Linked DNA regions of Saccharomyces cerevisiae S288C. The protein of the gene in region 1 interacts with the protein of each later gene in a biochemical or structural test. Each region holds a gene or a part of one and is shown on either strand. Other genes may lie near its edges.

The links.
Region 2: the proteins of SSP2 (region 1) and SMK1 form a complex in vitro, tested with the Saccharomyces cerevisiae proteins (6 studies listed by BioGRID, with this or other methods).
Region 3: the proteins of SSP2 (region 1) and ISC10 form a complex in vitro, tested with the Saccharomyces cerevisiae proteins (one study listed by BioGRID).

Annotation. Positions count from the first base shown.
Region 1 is NC_001147.6:788,242-791,602, reverse strand, and holds SSP2 (Ssp2p), read left to right. Parts: upstream 1-1,745; coding exon 1,746-2,861; downstream 2,862-3,361. Other genes in the region: pseudouridine synthase PUS7, read left to right, coding at 1-1,392; MET7 (tetrahydrofolate synthase), read right to left, coding at 2,962-3,361. UniProt on the Saccharomyces cerevisiae protein: Essential for sporulation and seems to have a role at the time of, or after, initiation of nuclear division. Appears to have a role in outer spore wall formation.
Region 2 is NC_001148.4:664,452-667,946, reverse strand, and holds SMK1 (mitogen-activated protein kinase SMK1), read right to left. Parts: upstream 1,668-3,495; coding exon 501-1,667; downstream 1-500. Other genes in the region: exocyst subunit SEC8, read right to left, coding at 1-271; YPR053C (uncharacterized protein), read left to right, coding at 1,704-2,159; NHP6A (high-mobility group nucleosome-binding protein), read left to right, coding at 1,973-2,254; peptide alpha-N-acetyltransferase MAK3, read right to left, coding at 2,457-2,987; autophagy protein ATG11, read left to right, coding at 3,274-3,495. UniProt on the Saccharomyces cerevisiae protein: Required for spore wall assembly. Required for proper deposition of the two outer layers of the spore wall, the chitosan and dityrosine layers. Negatively regulates GSC2, an alternate catalytic subunit of the 1,3-beta-glucan synthase (GS).
Region 3 is NC_001137.3:548,999-559,598, forward strand, and holds ISC10 (Isc10p), read right to left. Parts: upstream 1,530-10,600; coding exon 726-1,529; downstream 1-725. Other genes in the region: recombinase DMC1, read left to right, coding at 1-519; SLO1 (Slo1p), read right to left, coding at 1,867-2,124; YER181C (uncharacterized protein), read right to left, coding at 2,475-2,798; FMP10 (Fmp10p), read left to right, coding at 3,527-4,261; FAU1 (5-formyltetrahydrofolate cyclo-ligase), read right to left, coding at 4,336-4,971; TOG1 (Tog1p), read right to left, coding at 7,298-9,682; PUG1 (Pug1p), read left to right, coding at 10,456-10,600. UniProt on the Saccharomyces cerevisiae protein: Indispensable for spore formation.

The DNA.
Region 1 (3,361 bases):
GGTCCCAGTAAAGATTTTATTCACTTCACTCTACATAAAGAAAATAAGGATACTATGGAAGCTGTCAATGTTATAACAAAGTTGTTAAGAGTTCCAAGCCGTGTAATTAGATATGCAGGTACTAAGGATCGTAGAGCAGTAACGTGCCAAAGGGTTTCGATTTCAAAGATTGGTTTGGATAGACTAAATGCTTTAAATAGGACTTTAAAAGGAATGATTATCGGAAATTACAATTTTTCGGATGCAAGTTTGAATCTGGGAGACTTGAAGGGAAATGAGTTCGTTGTTGTTATTAGAGATGTTACCACCGGCAATAGTGAGGTATCACTGGAAGAAATTGTGTCTAACGGCTGTAAGTCTTTATCAGAAAATGGGTTTATCAATTATTTTGGTATGCAGAGATTCGGTACATTCAGTATTTCTACGCACACAATTGGTAGAGAATTGCTCCTTTCAAACTGGAAGAAGGCTGCTGAGTTGATTTTATCTGACCAGGATAACGTGCTTCCTAAATCTAAGGAAGCTAGGAAGATTTGGGCAGAAACTAAGGACGCGGCTTTAGCATTGAAGCAGATGCCAAGACAGTGTCTCGCAGAAAATGCGTTACTATATTCTTTATCTAATCAAAGAAAAGAAGAAGATGGAACTTATTCTGAGAACGCTTATTATACTGCTATTATGAAAATTCCCAGAAATTTGAGAACTATGTATGTACATGCCTACCAAAGTTACGTCTGGAATTCTATTGCTAGTAAGCGGATAGAACTACATGGTTTGAAGTTAGTTGTAGGTGACCTTGTCATTGATACTAGTGAAAAGTCACCACTAATTTCTGGGATTGACGATGAAGACTTTGATGAAGATGTCCGTGAAGCTCAGTTCATTCGTGCAAAAGCAGTAACTCAAGAGGATATCGACTCAGTTAAGTATACCATGGAAGATGTCGTGTTACCATCGCCGGGTTTTGATGTGCTTTATCCTTCCAACGAAGAATTGAAGCAACTGTATGTGGATATATTGAAAGCAGATAATATGGACCCATTTAATATGAGAAGAAAAGTTCGCGATTTTTCATTGGCTGGCTCTTATAGAACTGTTATTCAAAAGCCAAAGAGTTTAGAGTATAGAATAATTCACTATGATGATCCTTCTCAACAATTGGTGAACACTGATTTGGACATCCTGAATAACACCAGAGCAAAAGAAAGCGGCCAGAAGTATATGAAAGCCAAGTTGGACAGATATATGCCAGATAAAGGCGGTGAGAAGACTGCGGTGGTGTTAAAATTTCAATTAGGAACCTCCGCATATGCCACCATGGCATTACGTGAACTCATGAAGCTTGAGACTTCTCGCCGTGGCGACATGTGTGATGTTAAGGAGAATATCTAAGGTTATACGAGGTGCAATATTCATGTATATTAGTTTACTTTTTTTGTCGGAAGCTCTTTCCCTCATACACTATTGTTGTGTCCGTGTCGTGTCACTTCAGGCGTCGGTAAATATGTATCTGCGCATCGCACACAAAGATAAAGCCTTTTTAAATATAAACAACACCTTCTAGATATATCTTATCAAAGGATACAACCACGTTTCTCAACAAGAAGGACCTAATAGAGGAAAATTATTATACTGTAGCTATCAATATTTTATAAACAAAAAGACAGATATATTCTCGCGTATTGAAGTCGGGAATCCAACGAAGGTAAAATAATAATAAAATACGAAGCATTTAATCCGGTCAAATGTACAAGAACTATTATTCAAACACAGAAGTTTATAAAAAGCATAAAGACTCTGGAAGTTTGAGGAAGAAAGCTTTGAGATCGAGAAGATCATCTTTTTTTTCATTTTTCAATGACTCGTCTAGTTCGAATGGAAACGAATTCATAGGTTTTAGACGATTTGCAAAAGCATATCTGTTTGGTCGTGAGATAGGTTCATGTGGTACAGATTCATATACACCAGTTGGGGCAAATGTAAACAAAAGACGTTTAAAAAAAGAAGATAAAAACGATCAACAGCTTTGGAAAAGGCAGCACCATTCACAGGGTTGTTTTTTTCCCATAGATGATGACAGTAATAAGCAAACAGAAGCAGCCGTCAACAAATTTTATGAGAATGGAGAATACGTTAATCAGGATTTAATTTTCAAGGGAAAAGTATATTCAGAAGAATCAGAGGTTGTTGATGAGAAAACGGCAGGTTCTCAGAATCCCGCTCTTCTCAAAACAAGATCAATTTCATTAAACGATATACCGCGCGGCACAGGCATCTCTAGTGTATTGTCTCAAGTACGCGGAGGTTCCTTAGAAAGAATTATTGTCTATAGGTACGATACTCCGGAACGTTCTTTGCATAAAGTTGATCTTTTCTTCTTAAATTACGAGGGAGCTCAATCTTTTATGAGATACGCAAAAACAAATATTTTTAAAGTTAATGGAGTTCAATTAAAACCAGAATGGATATTCCTCGAGAGCACATATGAAAACATAATGAAAGAGCAATCTGTCAACAGAATAATAGAAGAGGAAAAGTTCATATCAAGATGTTTGATAGTGAAAAAAAGCTCGACAACAGCAATGCCTAACAAATCAAATCTGAATAAAGGGCAAACTTTAGAAAACATTGATATTCAAGAATTAGAAAAAGATTTTCAGAATTTTGGAGAGGTTCTAGAAATTACGCCTATTGTATCAAGAAAATTATGCGTATCTATATTCTTTTACGATATTTCCAGTGCTATGAGAGCTATGGAAGAATACGAACAAAAGGGCTCATATCTATATAATAAATATTTTAAAACATGGACAATATGGTACGGGAAAGATATTACAGACCAGCCTTGCATTGACTTGTAGTACGAATTTTTAAGTTGATAACTAAATTACTCTTCAACAAATAAATAAATGCAAATGAAGTCCATTATGTACGATTTTTAAAGTGCAAGTTACTTTCAAATTACTTTACATCTATTCTATCAAAAACGACCAATAATCCGCCAACAAGATGTAATGAACCAGTTACAAATATATCAGCAGGTTCATCGTATAGCGTTTCAATCAATTCATTTGCTTCCTCTATACTAGCCGTTACATGCGTTTTAGCACGATTATCGTCTATTTTGTTCCAATTCTTGACTAATGACTCCTGGACTTTCAATTTTTCTACATCTTCTTGAGAAGTGTTCATGGAAACGAGGTCAGCGCTGTATGAGCCTGATTTCCAAGTGACATTAGTAGTAAATATCACATCATCGAACGTTATTTCTGGCGAAACAGATGAGTACAGGTTATTCACAAGAGCGTTGGCATCTCTGCTTTGTTGGTTGAAGAGCAAGATCTTCTTTCTCTTCGACAAT
Region 2 (3,495 bases), on another chromosome or scaffold:
CTTGTAAGTGACTACCAATTTGTGACTTTAATTGATTGAATTCTTCATACCGGTGGCCCAGACCTACAGATGTATCATCCAAAAATGCGAGCGCTAGTTCTAAGGGATTAGTGTTATCCGACAGTATTCTATTCCATTGAAGATTTATCCTGTTTAAGTCATTCTGAAGATGGTCCAGGGAACTATTCATAGCAGATTGCTGAGTCTCCGAAAGACTGTTTATGGAAAGACCACGTCTTCTCCCCTTCTGCGCTGGTTTTAGGTAATCCATTGTATGCAATCGAGAGGTGGCGGTTGTGCTGAAAAAGTAGCAAGCTTATCTTGTTTATACTCCTATATTTAACAAGTAGCAGACTTTGTTTAGTTGTATACTTATTGTTATTTGAAATGGTTAACAAGAAACTATTTGAGCGTTACCCGCCATAAAGTTTACGTCAAAGAAAGAAGAATTGTTACGGTCAGAATATAACTTCATGATATACCTATTTGTGTAGTGGTTACTATAAAGACGAGGAGGACAAATCGGTTTTGAAATTTTTCACTTCTTCAACCAAGTAGTCTCTTAATTTGGACATTGAATTCAACTCGGATTCATAGGTGAAGTCGAAAGGACCCTGAAGGCAAACAGGCTCGTCGTCTGGCTTCCGCACCTCGTTTAGGAACGGATGTGATATAGCTTGTTCCACGTTTAACCTATGTGTTGAGTCCCAATGAAGTAATGACTCTATGAGATTGATTGCTTCATGCGAGGCAAAGGGGAAAATGTTGGACCATGGGATTTTTTTATATACAGGGTTATTACTGTTTTTGCCTAGATTCCAAGCTTTAATGGTGCCAAACTTGATCAGAATATCTTTATCAGGAGTACCCAAGACTTTGATGATTTCAAATATCTGGTGCATGGAGTCACGCCCCATGAAAACAGGCTTTCGAGCATAGAATTCTGCAAGAATGCACCCTACAGCCCATATGTCTACGGACTTACTATACGGTTGGTTGGAAAGAAGCAGCTCAGGCGCCCTATACCATCTTGTAGCAACGTAGTTGGTTATATGGGGCTGCACAGTGGAATGACACTTGAAAAATCCGGCATGAATACCCCTAGCGAGACCAAAATCGCAGATCTTCAAACAGCCATTCAATGTGCACAATATGTTCCCAGGCTTCAAATCTCGGTGGATGACATCTGCACTGTGTATGTACTTTAGCCCACACAGGATTTGGTAAAGAAAGTATTTGATATGAAACTCCGAGAGCTGCACGGACGAATGTATGACTTTTGCCAAATCATAATCAATCAGTTCCTGGTAGCAATACAGTCCGTCATAGGGCGAGCTGGTCACTATCTCTAGATCGATTAGATTTACAATATTTTTATGGCCCTTGAAGAAGTTCATGAATTTTAGCTCACGGATGGCCCTTTTCAAAAGGATCTCCTTATTAAAGATGTTGCTGATCTTCTTTACCGCTATCCTAGCAGCTGGGCTTCGACCCTTAAACTTCACTGAGCACACTGTCCCATAGGCTCCCTTGCCCAGGAATTGGATTATCTCGTAGTATCCTGGGATGGATATTCTCTCCTTGGCAAAAATCGTCCTCTGTTGAGGAGCACCGAGGTTGGAGGCCACATTTATGGCTCTGGTATTATCTGTAAGTGTGCAATTCATTCTTGGAGCGTTGAGCACGTCTACATTTCTATCGATATGATGTATCGCACGACGTTAAATACTGTTCAAGTGTCACAAATTAGTGGCGCCGAATTCTACCCTCACGCCTCGTCGCGCGCGATACTTTTCGAATCACCCGCCTTTTGCCGCCTATTTTTTTCGCCGTTCGTTTATTTAGCGGTGGGCAAACAAACAACACAGTATTTATTACTGGTACCGACTGTTAAAGAAGGACTGTTTTGGGACGTGTTTTTTTCCTGTTTTTGCTCAATTGACTACCCTATACATAGTAAAGCACAGTCGCAATGGTCACCCCAAGAGAACCTAAGAAGAGAACCACTAGAAAGAAGAAGGACCCAAATGCCCCTAAGAGGGCTTTGTCCGCCTACATGTTTTTCGCTAACGAAAACAGAGATATTGTTCGTTCTGAAAATCCAGATATCACATTTGGACAAGTCGGCAAGAAGTTGGGTGAGAAGTGGAAGGCTCTAACGCCAGAGGAAAAGCAGCCTTACGAGGCCAAGGCCCAGGCCGATAAGAAGAGATATGAATCCGAAAAGGAGTTATATAACGCCACTTTGGCTTAGGGATACTTCCTCCCCGCGTTTTTGTCTGTGTGATTTAATTTCTTTTCCTCTTGTTCTTTTTGAAACTTGCTTTATTATCTCTCTCCTTTCTATTCCTCTTTTCTCTACTGCCCTTTTTCTATATCTATACATATGATTAAATAAATAAATAAAAAAATTGTATTATTAATATATATTTTATCATCATCGAGTGTTTTTCCTTTTATGTGGCCAGCCGGCCATGCATTAGGAACGTAGACCGAGTGCAGCTCTTTTCAGTCAACGGCAATATCAGTTTAAAGGCGTCCCCTTCATTCAAGTAGTAGCGGAACATCCGTTTCATTCTGATGAAACCCATTCCTTCATATAAGTTTAGAGCCGCCGAATTTTCCACCTCTGTTTCTAACATGATCTCATCGCAATGTTCCCTTTGCATTTTATCTATGGCAATTTCCACTAGTTTCTTTGCTATGCCATGCCCGCGGTATGTGGACTCTACGGCTAGCATTCCTATATATCCTCTCAGTCTCACGTTTCTATGCGGGTCCATCTTACACACTATGCAACCAATGGGTATGTTAGGCGTTCCACTCTTGTTGTCAACGGCAATGTACGTTAACTCGGGCCATTGGTTCAAGAAATACCTATATACGTATATCGAGTACGGCTCTGATAGATCCGCATCTATTAGTTTTTTAATACTAGCAAACTGCTCTTCGTTACGTATGTCCAATGGCTTGTACACTATTTCCATGTCCTGACCCAACGCCTTTTCTGTAGTAGTGGCTTTTTTATCTTGTAATCTCTTGTGAAACTTTGTTCTTCATGATTATTATTTTTAATAAGGCTTGCCATGGAGAGCCTTTTTATCGCTTTTGGCTACCCGGTTTCTTGGTAGGAATGGAACTATATAATAGCGATGCCCTTATTTGAGTACCATTTTCTCAAATCAGAACCAAAGTAGTCCTCCTTTGAACAACGATTATTTTAGTGTACTGTTGTTGTTCGGAAAGTACTTCTTTTATTTTCTTTTATACATCATGGCAGACGCTGATGAATATAGCACTGCACCTACCCAGCAAGAAATAACACCACTGCAGACAACAGCCACTATCATAAATGCAATATCTGGAGAATGTATAACTACGAATGTTGATTTTTTCGTTTCCCTGGACAAATTTAAACAGTTCATTGCTAGGAAATGGAAGATTCCTCCCGATCAGCTGCTGATTCTACTACCTTATGGTAACAAACTAAAACCG
Region 3 (10,600 bases), on another chromosome or scaffold:
GAGAGGATTAAGCAAATTGCAGAAGGTTATGAATTGGATCCCGAGTCATGTTTGGCAAACGTTTCATATGCTAGAGCCTTGAATAGTGAACATCAAATGGAACTTGTTGAACAATTGGGTGAAGAACTTAGTTCTGGAGATTATCGCCTTATCGTGGTAGATTCTATAATGGCAAACTTCAGAGTAGACTACTGCGGTAGAGGTGAACTAAGCGAAAGACAGCAAAAGCTAAATCAACATCTTTTCAAATTGAATAGATTGGCAGAGGAATTTAATGTTGCAGTATTTCTGACAAACCAAGTTCAATCAGACCCAGGTGCTTCTGCATTATTTGCCTCGGCAGATGGTAGGAAACCAATTGGAGGGCACGTTCTGGCACATGCGTCAGCAACAAGGATTTTGTTGAGAAAAGGGCGTGGTGACGAAAGAGTTGCCAAGTTACAAGATTCCCCAGATATGCCTGAAAAAGAATGTGTCTACGTAATTGGTGAAAAAGGTATTACCGATTCAAGTGACTAGTTTTTGTATACTTTTTTAATGAAGATGACATTGCTCCTTTATTAAACTTTTCTTTTACTTTGTGTTACTAATATTATTAATATCTTGTTATGATTCTTTGTTTTAGCAGCTCCAAAAGAAAGGAATATTATAATATAATTGTTGTAATTCGGAAAAAAAATATTAAATTACTATGGTGCATATGCGTATATAAAATTGAGCATTACCTAACGCCATATATTACTATCTAAAGTCCTCACAGATGATGTGTTTTCAAAATCAAATGATTGGAGCTCCTCATCATCATCCCCGGTAAACTGCTCGGTTTCAGATCCATTATCCAGATACCTCAACGGGCTAGTGTACGCAATTGAAGGGTACCTATAAAATAAAGTACGTTCCTCTTTCAACTGAAAAAACCCCCGATAATCCCTTGACAAGAAATAATACATAATATAATCTCGCTTTCTGACAAGACTTTTCAGTTCTTGGTACTCTAATTCCCGTTCGAAAACCGGATATGTGCCAGCAATTTCGTCAGTTATTATAGCGTTTATAATAGCCTCGTAGTCATCGGGCTCAATTCTATTTTCGTAGTTGAACAGACGGTAAAAAGGGCTACAGTCATAATTATGCTCGCATTCCTCGAGAATAATATCTGAATCAGATTGTAAATGTATGATATTTCTTGGCGTTACAACAATAGAATCCTCAGGCCCTGATATTTTCTCTATAGATGGGGAATCCGGTATATAGTCAAGGTTGATATCTGTTAATTCATTTGAATTTAGGTTAGCGCGAGCTTCAATTTCGTTAGGCTTCTTGAAATTTGCCTTAACTGGGATTTGCTTTGCCAATTTTTTGTCATCTAGCTTTTTTCTATGATTGAAATTTAGGTCACGAAGCCTTATATGTTCAAGATCCTTGGATTTTGTAGCAGCTTTTTCCTTTATCAAGAAACTGCTTGACTTCTTTTGCGAAAAAGGGTGGGTTTGATTTTCATCTTGATGCAACCTCTCATCGACATCCATTTTGTCACTGTGTCTGAGAATCTATACTTCAGGGCCTGCTACAAGAAGTAGAAACTAAAATACAATGTTACAAATGCGAGAAGGGTTTTTTTTATGATCATGAGTGACCGCAATAAAATCTTTCGAAGCTTTTTCGAATATTTTAACATTTTTTCTCTATAGCTTCTTTGTGGCATCGCCCATGGGATCAAACCATACTGGTTTCTTTGTAAAACAGGCGCAAAATATAGAAACTCAGAAAAAGAGAAAACGAGTAGTGGAAAAATTTATCAGCCATTTATGCGACGCATCCGTTTGACTGATCTACCTATTTAAAACAGAAACCTACGTTGAAAAGTTATTTTTCCAACACATTACTGGATCTCATCAAATTGCCAATGTAATCTTCTAGATAATCATTTTCTTGCTTTAGTTGCTCACACACCTCTTGCTGCTCTAAGGTTTTATTCCACAACAAGTCTAATGTATCCTTCAGAAGTTTGGTTTGGCGCATCATCCTCTCATTTTTTGTTCCAGCTTCTCTTTCGCCAAGATTAACTTCAGAGGATGGCTGCTTGCCCGTCGGCGAGCCAGTACTAATGTTCTCCGCTGACATTGTCCTATTTGTTTGTTTGCTATTATAATTTATCTAGTCAACAACTTCGCAGATCTACAAACTGGTCCTTAAGATGTTTTATTGAAGACATCATTTTTTATTTTTTTAAGCAGAACGTGCTGTGCTCTCCCTTTTGGGCCTTTTTACGATTTTCAAAAAAATTGGTCTCTAGCGGGATCGAACCGCTGATCCCCGCGTTATTAGCACGGTGCCTTAACCAACTGGGCCAAGAGACCTGTAATCTGTGTTAAACCTGCATAAATTATGAAATCATAGCAACGTTTCAAATACTTCAGATGCCCCCATCCCTTCGTGTAGATGATGAAATGAAACTCTAGAATATCATCCATTTAGTAGCATTCTTGCTGCTGGTATAGTATCATATGAGATCTAGGAAGATGAAATGAAGCTTGAGAAAGAGTTAGCAAGTTTAATGGAAGCTGAAATGCAAGAATTGATAATGTAATGGGAAAATGAAGCATATAAAACGATAGGAAAAATAATCGTAATATTATTGTATGCAAATACCGATTAAATTTGAGGATCCCTATACCCTTGAGGAGAAGTTCTAGTATGTTCTGTATACATAGTATTGAAGCCTCTATCAACAATGGAATCCCGATAATTATCACAAAATTCACACAAACCTCAGATAAACGTAACAGTATTAGCATACATAATTATACCCAGGCTTCTCCCACAGTGCGCATGATTCGCTACGAAATCATCAATTTCACATAATATTGAGATTGCATTTGTTTTTGTTTCTTGCGTTGTCACTTTTAATTCTGCTGTATTATCAACTCCTGCACTTAGCTTCTGCAAGATAAAATGACGACTTGAGCATCATTCTCAGATTCAGTTGAAAGTTGCTGACGATTTTCAGGGGTCCCATTTCTAGTAAAACGACATTAGACATATACTAGAAGTTCTCCTCAAAAGATACAGGAATCAATAAAAGAGAATCGGCAATTCTAAATAGCATATTATTATTACTTCTTTTGCTTTGTAAGTTGTAATTTACAATCCTATTACATTATCGTTTCTTGATTTCAACTTCCATTAGATTTGATTATGACTGCCATCATTTTGGGTCACCGTACGTGAACATTGGTTTGCAACAGGAATAAAAGTCTTGAGATGTTGTACTCTGAGCAAATAAACAAAAGGAATTCTTTCTAATATTTCACAAAACTGATTTCCAAAAATGTCTCTAAGTACTCCATTAGCGACACATTTTACATTTCATTTATTTAACATAATACCTTATTTAAAGATTGATTAATTTTCGATGAGGCATACCCCTTGGCAGAAAAGGAACAAACTCACAAAGTGCACAAAGAGTTTATAAAGAAACTAAGAAAAGTAAGGAAGAGAAAGAGACCGTACCAGCAAGGCCAAGATGTTTAAAAGAATCGCAATAGCCCAGATAAGAACGTATACAAATGGCGTTGTTTTCAAGACAGCCTCTAAACCCAAAAGAAGATGGATTCCATGGACAATTTTTGGGGGAAGTTTTCTTGGAGGGTGGTACTTGACACAGCATATGACGTTCACGGACTTACTAGCTTATTGGAGATATGATGCCCTACCCAAGAACGCAGATGAAGTCGTCAAATATCACGCTGATCTGAATAGACGTTTAAATGGCCTACCCATAGTAAAACAGTTGGAGAATGCTGGTTTTGTACAAGTGATTGCTAATGAAGAGGAGAACTTGTTAGTGTCAAGGGCATTAAATACACCAGGTGGCGTCGCTATACCACCAAGAGTTTACTACAACCCCAGTAGGCGTGAAACTGTCGGGCTATACCATTTAGGAATGAAACTTACTGGTTATCCTTTCTTAATTCACGGAGGCATTTTAGCAACAGTTATTGAAGATTTAATGAAGGAGGCCATTAGACTCGAAAAAGGAACAAAAAATATAAACCAAGAAACCAAGAATTTGAGTATCTCGTACAAGTTCCCCACGTTAGCTAATCAATTTGTTGTAGTAAGAACCACCGATCTTCAGCAATACGGTAACAAAACTAAATTAAAGGCTGAACTTATGGACCAAAGTGGCAACAGGACATTGGTCAAAGCTAATGCCACGTTTTCTAGCGAACAAGGGAATCCAAAAGAAGAAAAATAGATTTGCCGTCTACTTATTTATTTATTTATTTATTTATACAATAGCTGTACCATGTAAATAATACATATATGAAATTATTGAAACCAATGTATGGATCCATCTCCGCATACTATACAATCCATGGAATAATCATGTTTTTCTAAAGGAATTGGAGAGGCCACCTGTTCCATAAGACATAGTCCAACTAGGAGGGGCTTTTGGCCTTCATGCAGTATCTTATACCGTTGGAAAAAATCGTCATAATACCCAGCACCGTGACCCATCCTTGCACCAGTTTTAATATCAAACGCCACTCCAGGCACCAATACGACATCTAGAATATCTGATTCCTCAATATGCGGTTCAGGCTCTTTTAGTTGATATGGACCTTGAGGCTTCAAATCACGAACCATTTTCAAACTACTCATTCGATGGAATATTAAATGTGGATGATGATCTTCCCGTAATTTGAAGTGTTTCGATTCAGAAGTATGAGTACATCTTGGCAGAAAGACCTCCTGGCCATCTTGAAATAAATTCTTAATGATTTCTCCAGTCGTTACTTCTCCTTTATCCATGCTCATATAACACGCTACACGCCTAGAATTGGCGGAAGCGATCAATGAGCGTACTGCTTGAGAAATAGTATGCGACTCTGCAGCGATAATATCGTAGTCAAGAGCATTTATTACCCTTTTGATTTGACGTCTCAGTAATTGCTTAGTGGCCATTAATTTTTTGTAGCTATATAAAGATAGCGTAGCTGACAGTAATTTTTATTTTTGCCATTTCAATGATTAAATATTATTCGGAAGAAATCTGAGAAAATTATATATATCCTTCAAGAGAATGAAGCTGCTAACTGATTAATAAAAACAGCTTTAATCACAAATCTCTCACGACATGAAATAAAACACCCTTGCAAACAGATGTGGAAGACTGATTGCCACAAAGCTTCGGGCTCGCAAGCAGAATGGTTTTCAGGAAGTGACTTACTAAGCTCGAATATTGTCCTAGATAGCAAACAGGCCTTTGATGGAATCAGTTTGTCTCCTGAAGGTTTTTTTGAAATAAAATGATAAATGAGAATAGCAGACCAGTTCTACGGGTAGGATTGAGATATAAAACGAGAAAGGCACTCTCTCACTGAAAAGTAATGAAAAATTATCAGAACTCCAATCTGCTGTCTTTACATCCTCGAGAATATCGCTAAGCTATCGATACTACGAATGATCCAGATACGACAGTCTTCGCTGGCGATCTTTTTGGACTAAATTTGCTCACTGATACACTAAAAAGCCTACGCAACTACACAAAGGTAAGAAACCACAATCGCTACCCATTAATCCTTATTGGCATTGTAGCCCCATATAATAGAAGTGAAAGAGTAACATTGCGCCATTTTTCGCTACTAAATAACCTCAAGAAATGTGTCCAGCTTATGGTTCCCATAGAGCGAGAATATATGACTTAAAGCATATCCCTGAGTGGGTTGCACTGGTACACACTCTGTGATGGTGGAGCACATTAATTAAAACTCAAAAAAATTATCACGATATGGACAAAAATCTAAATGGGCAAGTATCTCTCACAAAAAGACCTCACGTATTTTATGAAATTACAAATTGACGTATTTCAACCTTGTTTACTCTAAAGTTCCCCCATATAGCATAGGGGTGCTTTGGGTTTATTTAATCGTCAAATATAGTCCGATTTGTCTCATTATTCTTGTGTCGGAAAAAAATTTATTGAAGCGACTACTACCTAGATATTCTGCAATTTTTCCTATAATATAATATGCCTCACCCCAATCAGTCCCTCTTTATGACAAGAAATAAGACTACAGTGTTACATCAGATACTCCACATTCCCCCTATCGAAACCCAACAAGAGCGCTATCTCTTATACAACATTTCACAAAAAACATGTGATATGCTTTCAATTGATCCTATCAATATCAAAATTATCATTCTCACTGCATTATCCTTCATTTTCGTTAGTGCGCATCCTCCATTTTGGGACGTGTCTACCAAATAAAGAATGATGCGAGATACAAAGTAGGTGATAACATCAGAACCCGGTGTTAGAATGCAAGGTATAATCAGCAAAAAAAAAAAAAATGTGTAAAAAAAAAAGGTCGGTTACCAGCTTTACTAAATGTTTTCTATTGAATAAAATCATAGAATTCCATAAGTGACTGTGACATTTTCCACCCAGTTGATACAGTTCAATGAATTCTCACTGCAGCTATATTTTGGATGCTTCTCCACTTTGTAATATACATTGTGATGTTTCTTTGATGAAAGATATAAAATATTAAAAAAAGTTGATTCTTACATCTCATCTTTGTCATAAAAATCCTCTGGAATGGCACCTTAGAATTTCTAGGCACAGGAAACTATTCGATTTTTCTAATATATGAATCTAAGTCAAATTCAATATCTATGTTATTTCAGAAAGTGGAGTAGGTGTGCTTTTAAGAGAACGGATTTATGACGGAAAACTAGGTTAAATAGACGAAGAAAAGCTGAAGTAATTATCGTTTTGCTGAAACTTTCAGGATAATCCCTATCATAATATATTCCTATCAAGCGATGAGCAACGGAAAGCTGTGAATTGTGAATGTAACAACAAGACTATGTGAAGCAATTTTTAAGAGTTATTTCATTTAGCAATCTTTTGAGACCCGAAATACTCAAAGAACGATAAAATCGTGGGACGAATAATTAGACTAGCAACAATAAAAGGAGTAAATACAACTAGATTTGTGAGTGTGTGTAATTGCGTGTAGCTTGAAAGACTTACCACAGTGGTATCAACACCATACTCGAATCGTTCTAGATCTTGCATAAAAAAAGGACATTTACTTTTACTTACTAGTTATGAGCCACCTTTGATTTCATGGTACAGCCCATAACCTTCCTGAAAGCGGTGCATAACGTAAGGGACTAGATTAGAATCACAAAACCTTTTATTGCATTCTACAGTATTCGTCTAAATCAAGGGATTTTATTTCCTAATTGAAAGTGATCAATTGTTTAGGTGCATACTTGGTTTTTACTCTCCGAGGTTTTCTTTAGTAATACCAAATTCAGTGTCCTCCCAAAATAGATTGAGAAGGTCTGGTAGAGATTCTGCAGTCACAAAATTTTCGAGGCTACAAAAGTCCATGCCAACTGAAACACTGGTGCTGCTGGGTGACAACTTCTCATAACAAGCACCTTCTTGATTTTTTCCCTGTACGCCAATAACTCTATTATTCACCAAATCACCCATTTCCCTATCAAGAATGCTGAGAATTTCTTTACGGAAGCTTGATTCTTTGTGTTCGCCTATAATATTCCTGTACCAGATACATTCAATGTCCAACGCAGCTTGACCAGCATCTGAGCAAGCCTGGCCATATTTTTTCAATTCACAAAACAGCGATTCCTTAGCCATTTTCTGTGAACGTGTGTACATCTGACAGCAGATGCGTGTTAGGATGAAAGAAACCGCTGTTCCATTTTCCAACTTTTTAGAGAAGGCGTTGTTGCCCTTGAAATTAACATTGCCAGAGCTCACAAATAAGTCATTATATGAGGCTATCATGCGGCACATCAAGGATAAATAACATATCGAGTTCCTTCTAGGGGTCTCGATAAAATTCAAGGTAATATTCATCAAGATGGCATATATGAACCACGAACAACGGAAAATATAGAACGTATCTTCGTGCTTGAGAACATCCGTCAAAATATCTACAGATGCTTCAAAGGTTTGAAGCCTGATGTCCTTTACGCAGGAATCAAGTTCAATTCTCTCTCTTTCTTGTAGAAGATTTTGTATCCTTAAAATTAAACTCTCCATTCCCTGAAAACAACAAACCTTTGCAAATCCGAAATGGGTGTATAGTTCAAATACATTACTATTTTCAGAATATTGTTTGAGGAAAGGGATTAGTTTGTCTTGTATGCACTGAAAAATTTTACATATTTTTGAAAACTCTACCATAAGCTGTCGTGCGGTTCCATTTAGGTCTTTAGCGTTAGGAGTTGCAAATAATCTGTAGTCTGTAAAGTGTCGATTATAAAGCAAACCAGAGAATACCGCTGTAATAATTTTCGTTAATAGAATATAGCCGAAAGAGATACAAATATCAAACTTACTTGGGTCGAGCTCCACCAAGTTTATTAAAGTAAAACAGTCCATCGAATCATCTACCCCTAATCCAACCACATCCTTGGGAAAGAGACACGAAGTCATTTCATGTGGTATCAATGGCTGCTTACCGGTGACCAATGAATACCATCTATCCCACCAGTAGCAGTCCCACCATAACTTACGATATTCTTCGGCAGTGTCCTCATCCTGACCAATATAATATTCCCAACGATTCAAACCAGCATCCAAACTTCGCCTGGACATCGTGGAAATAATTCTTCCCAGCACAAAAGGATCGTCTATCCAATATCTGTGTTTCATCAACGAGACTAAGCCCTTTAAAATAGTCAAGTCGTACATTGTCGAAAATAGGGATCTTTCAAAATATTCAAGACAGAGACAAAAAATCAACTCATCTTGCTCAAGAAAATATTTCAAAGGAAGTAATTTTTTGGAACTTTTACGATCCAACGCCTTGTGGTGCTGTTCCATCAATTGTACTCCGTACATAAACCAGTCTGTTGGTTTATTGAATTTGATTGTTTGGTTAATGTTTGTATTTCCTTTGATTTCATTCGATATATTTGACATAATGTGTTGAATAAGTACGTCGTTCCCACATGAAAGTCCGTTTAGCTTTGAATAATACTCTAAAGGAGATATCGAAGTTACTTTAGGACCAGCATGGCTAGCAGAGCTAGCGTCAAGAAACTTCAAAAATAAATAGATAGTTTCTCTCGTCTCCCTATCATTCGAACATGAAATCAATTTTTTAGTTATCCAGCTAATACCCGTAGAGGCAAAATATAGCAACGGTGAATAGACCCCAAAGTACATACTGACATTTTGTGCAGTATTGCTTTCAAAAGCGTTGGAGAACCTATTCAAAGATTTTGACTGTTTCCCGATAATTTCTGTTTCTATCGATTTCAGGCCACCATACGAGCTAATTTCCTTACTGTCCAGATTGAGGTAAAGCTGAGGTTGTATTTTTTCAAGCTCAGTGCAAATGTTTGCTAGGCCTTTCTGTAAAGAGGCCGGTGCGCTTGGAGGTAACTGTGCCTTCAATTTTGCTATGCTGCACTTAGCATTATCCAAATCATTACTGAGACTACCAGTATAATTGAAAAAAGCCTCAATCGGTTCACGAAATTGATTTCTATACGTACATTTTGATTGAGACCCAATACACCCAAAACATGGCTTCTTACTGTTGCACTTAATCTTTTTCCTATGGCATCTATCACAGGCCTTGGTTACCCTAGATTTTTGTTTGGCTAATCCTCTTTTTGCTGCCATCTCAATAAAATATAAAAAGCTAAAAAGCTTAAAATTTAAACAACAATAATGTCGTTAACCTAATGCGCTTATTCGATGAGATTTGGATTTGCTTCTAGCTTATAGAAAGGAAGAAAGTTTTTACTGTTCAAAGCACACATCAAAAAAATTATTACCCAGCCTTTCAAACAAACAAAGTACTCCAAAATAGTTATTTTTGAATACTAGCAAACCAACCAATCACTTTTTTTGTTGGATTATCAAATAAGCCTAATCAGGTCTTTCATGCAGCGTTGAATCCAGGTTACTTCACCGCACCTTAAGTTAAGATCAGGACAGTATCGGCTGTTCCTGAGAAACCAGCCATATTCAAGTTTCGGTATCCTAACCGTTGATATTGTCCTTATTTGTCGACCTTCAAATATTGTGGCTGCCATGTATATGAGCGCCTCGATCTATTATGACTAAGCCATGCGATTGTCGTGTAATGGTATCGCGCATACTGAAGGTTTCAGCCCTGTTTTGATGTGCCGCGGCAAAGTGGTTTTTCTCCATACAGGATGAAGTGTTTCTTTCCCCATGCCGCGGCAAGCTCATCCTAAATAAATCTCAACTTTTCAACTAAATGTACTTCAATTGAACAAATGCCAAGACCTCAAATGAATCAGTATAAAAGCACCTACCGAATCAATTGTGGGATGTATAGTCTCTTGCCTCAAAATGTCCAGGATAGTAGGTTAATAGTGTCCAATTACATAGCTACTTAATCTTTTATTGTCCATCAACGTTCCAAAATGTCCACAACTGATTCGGGGTTCGTACTTTACCACTATACGCCAAGTAAAGCGGCTGCAATCGTATTTGTCGTACTCTTCATTATAATGACAGTCATTTTTGCCGTTCAAACTTTATATGCTGCGAGAAAATCTTCTAAGGCAT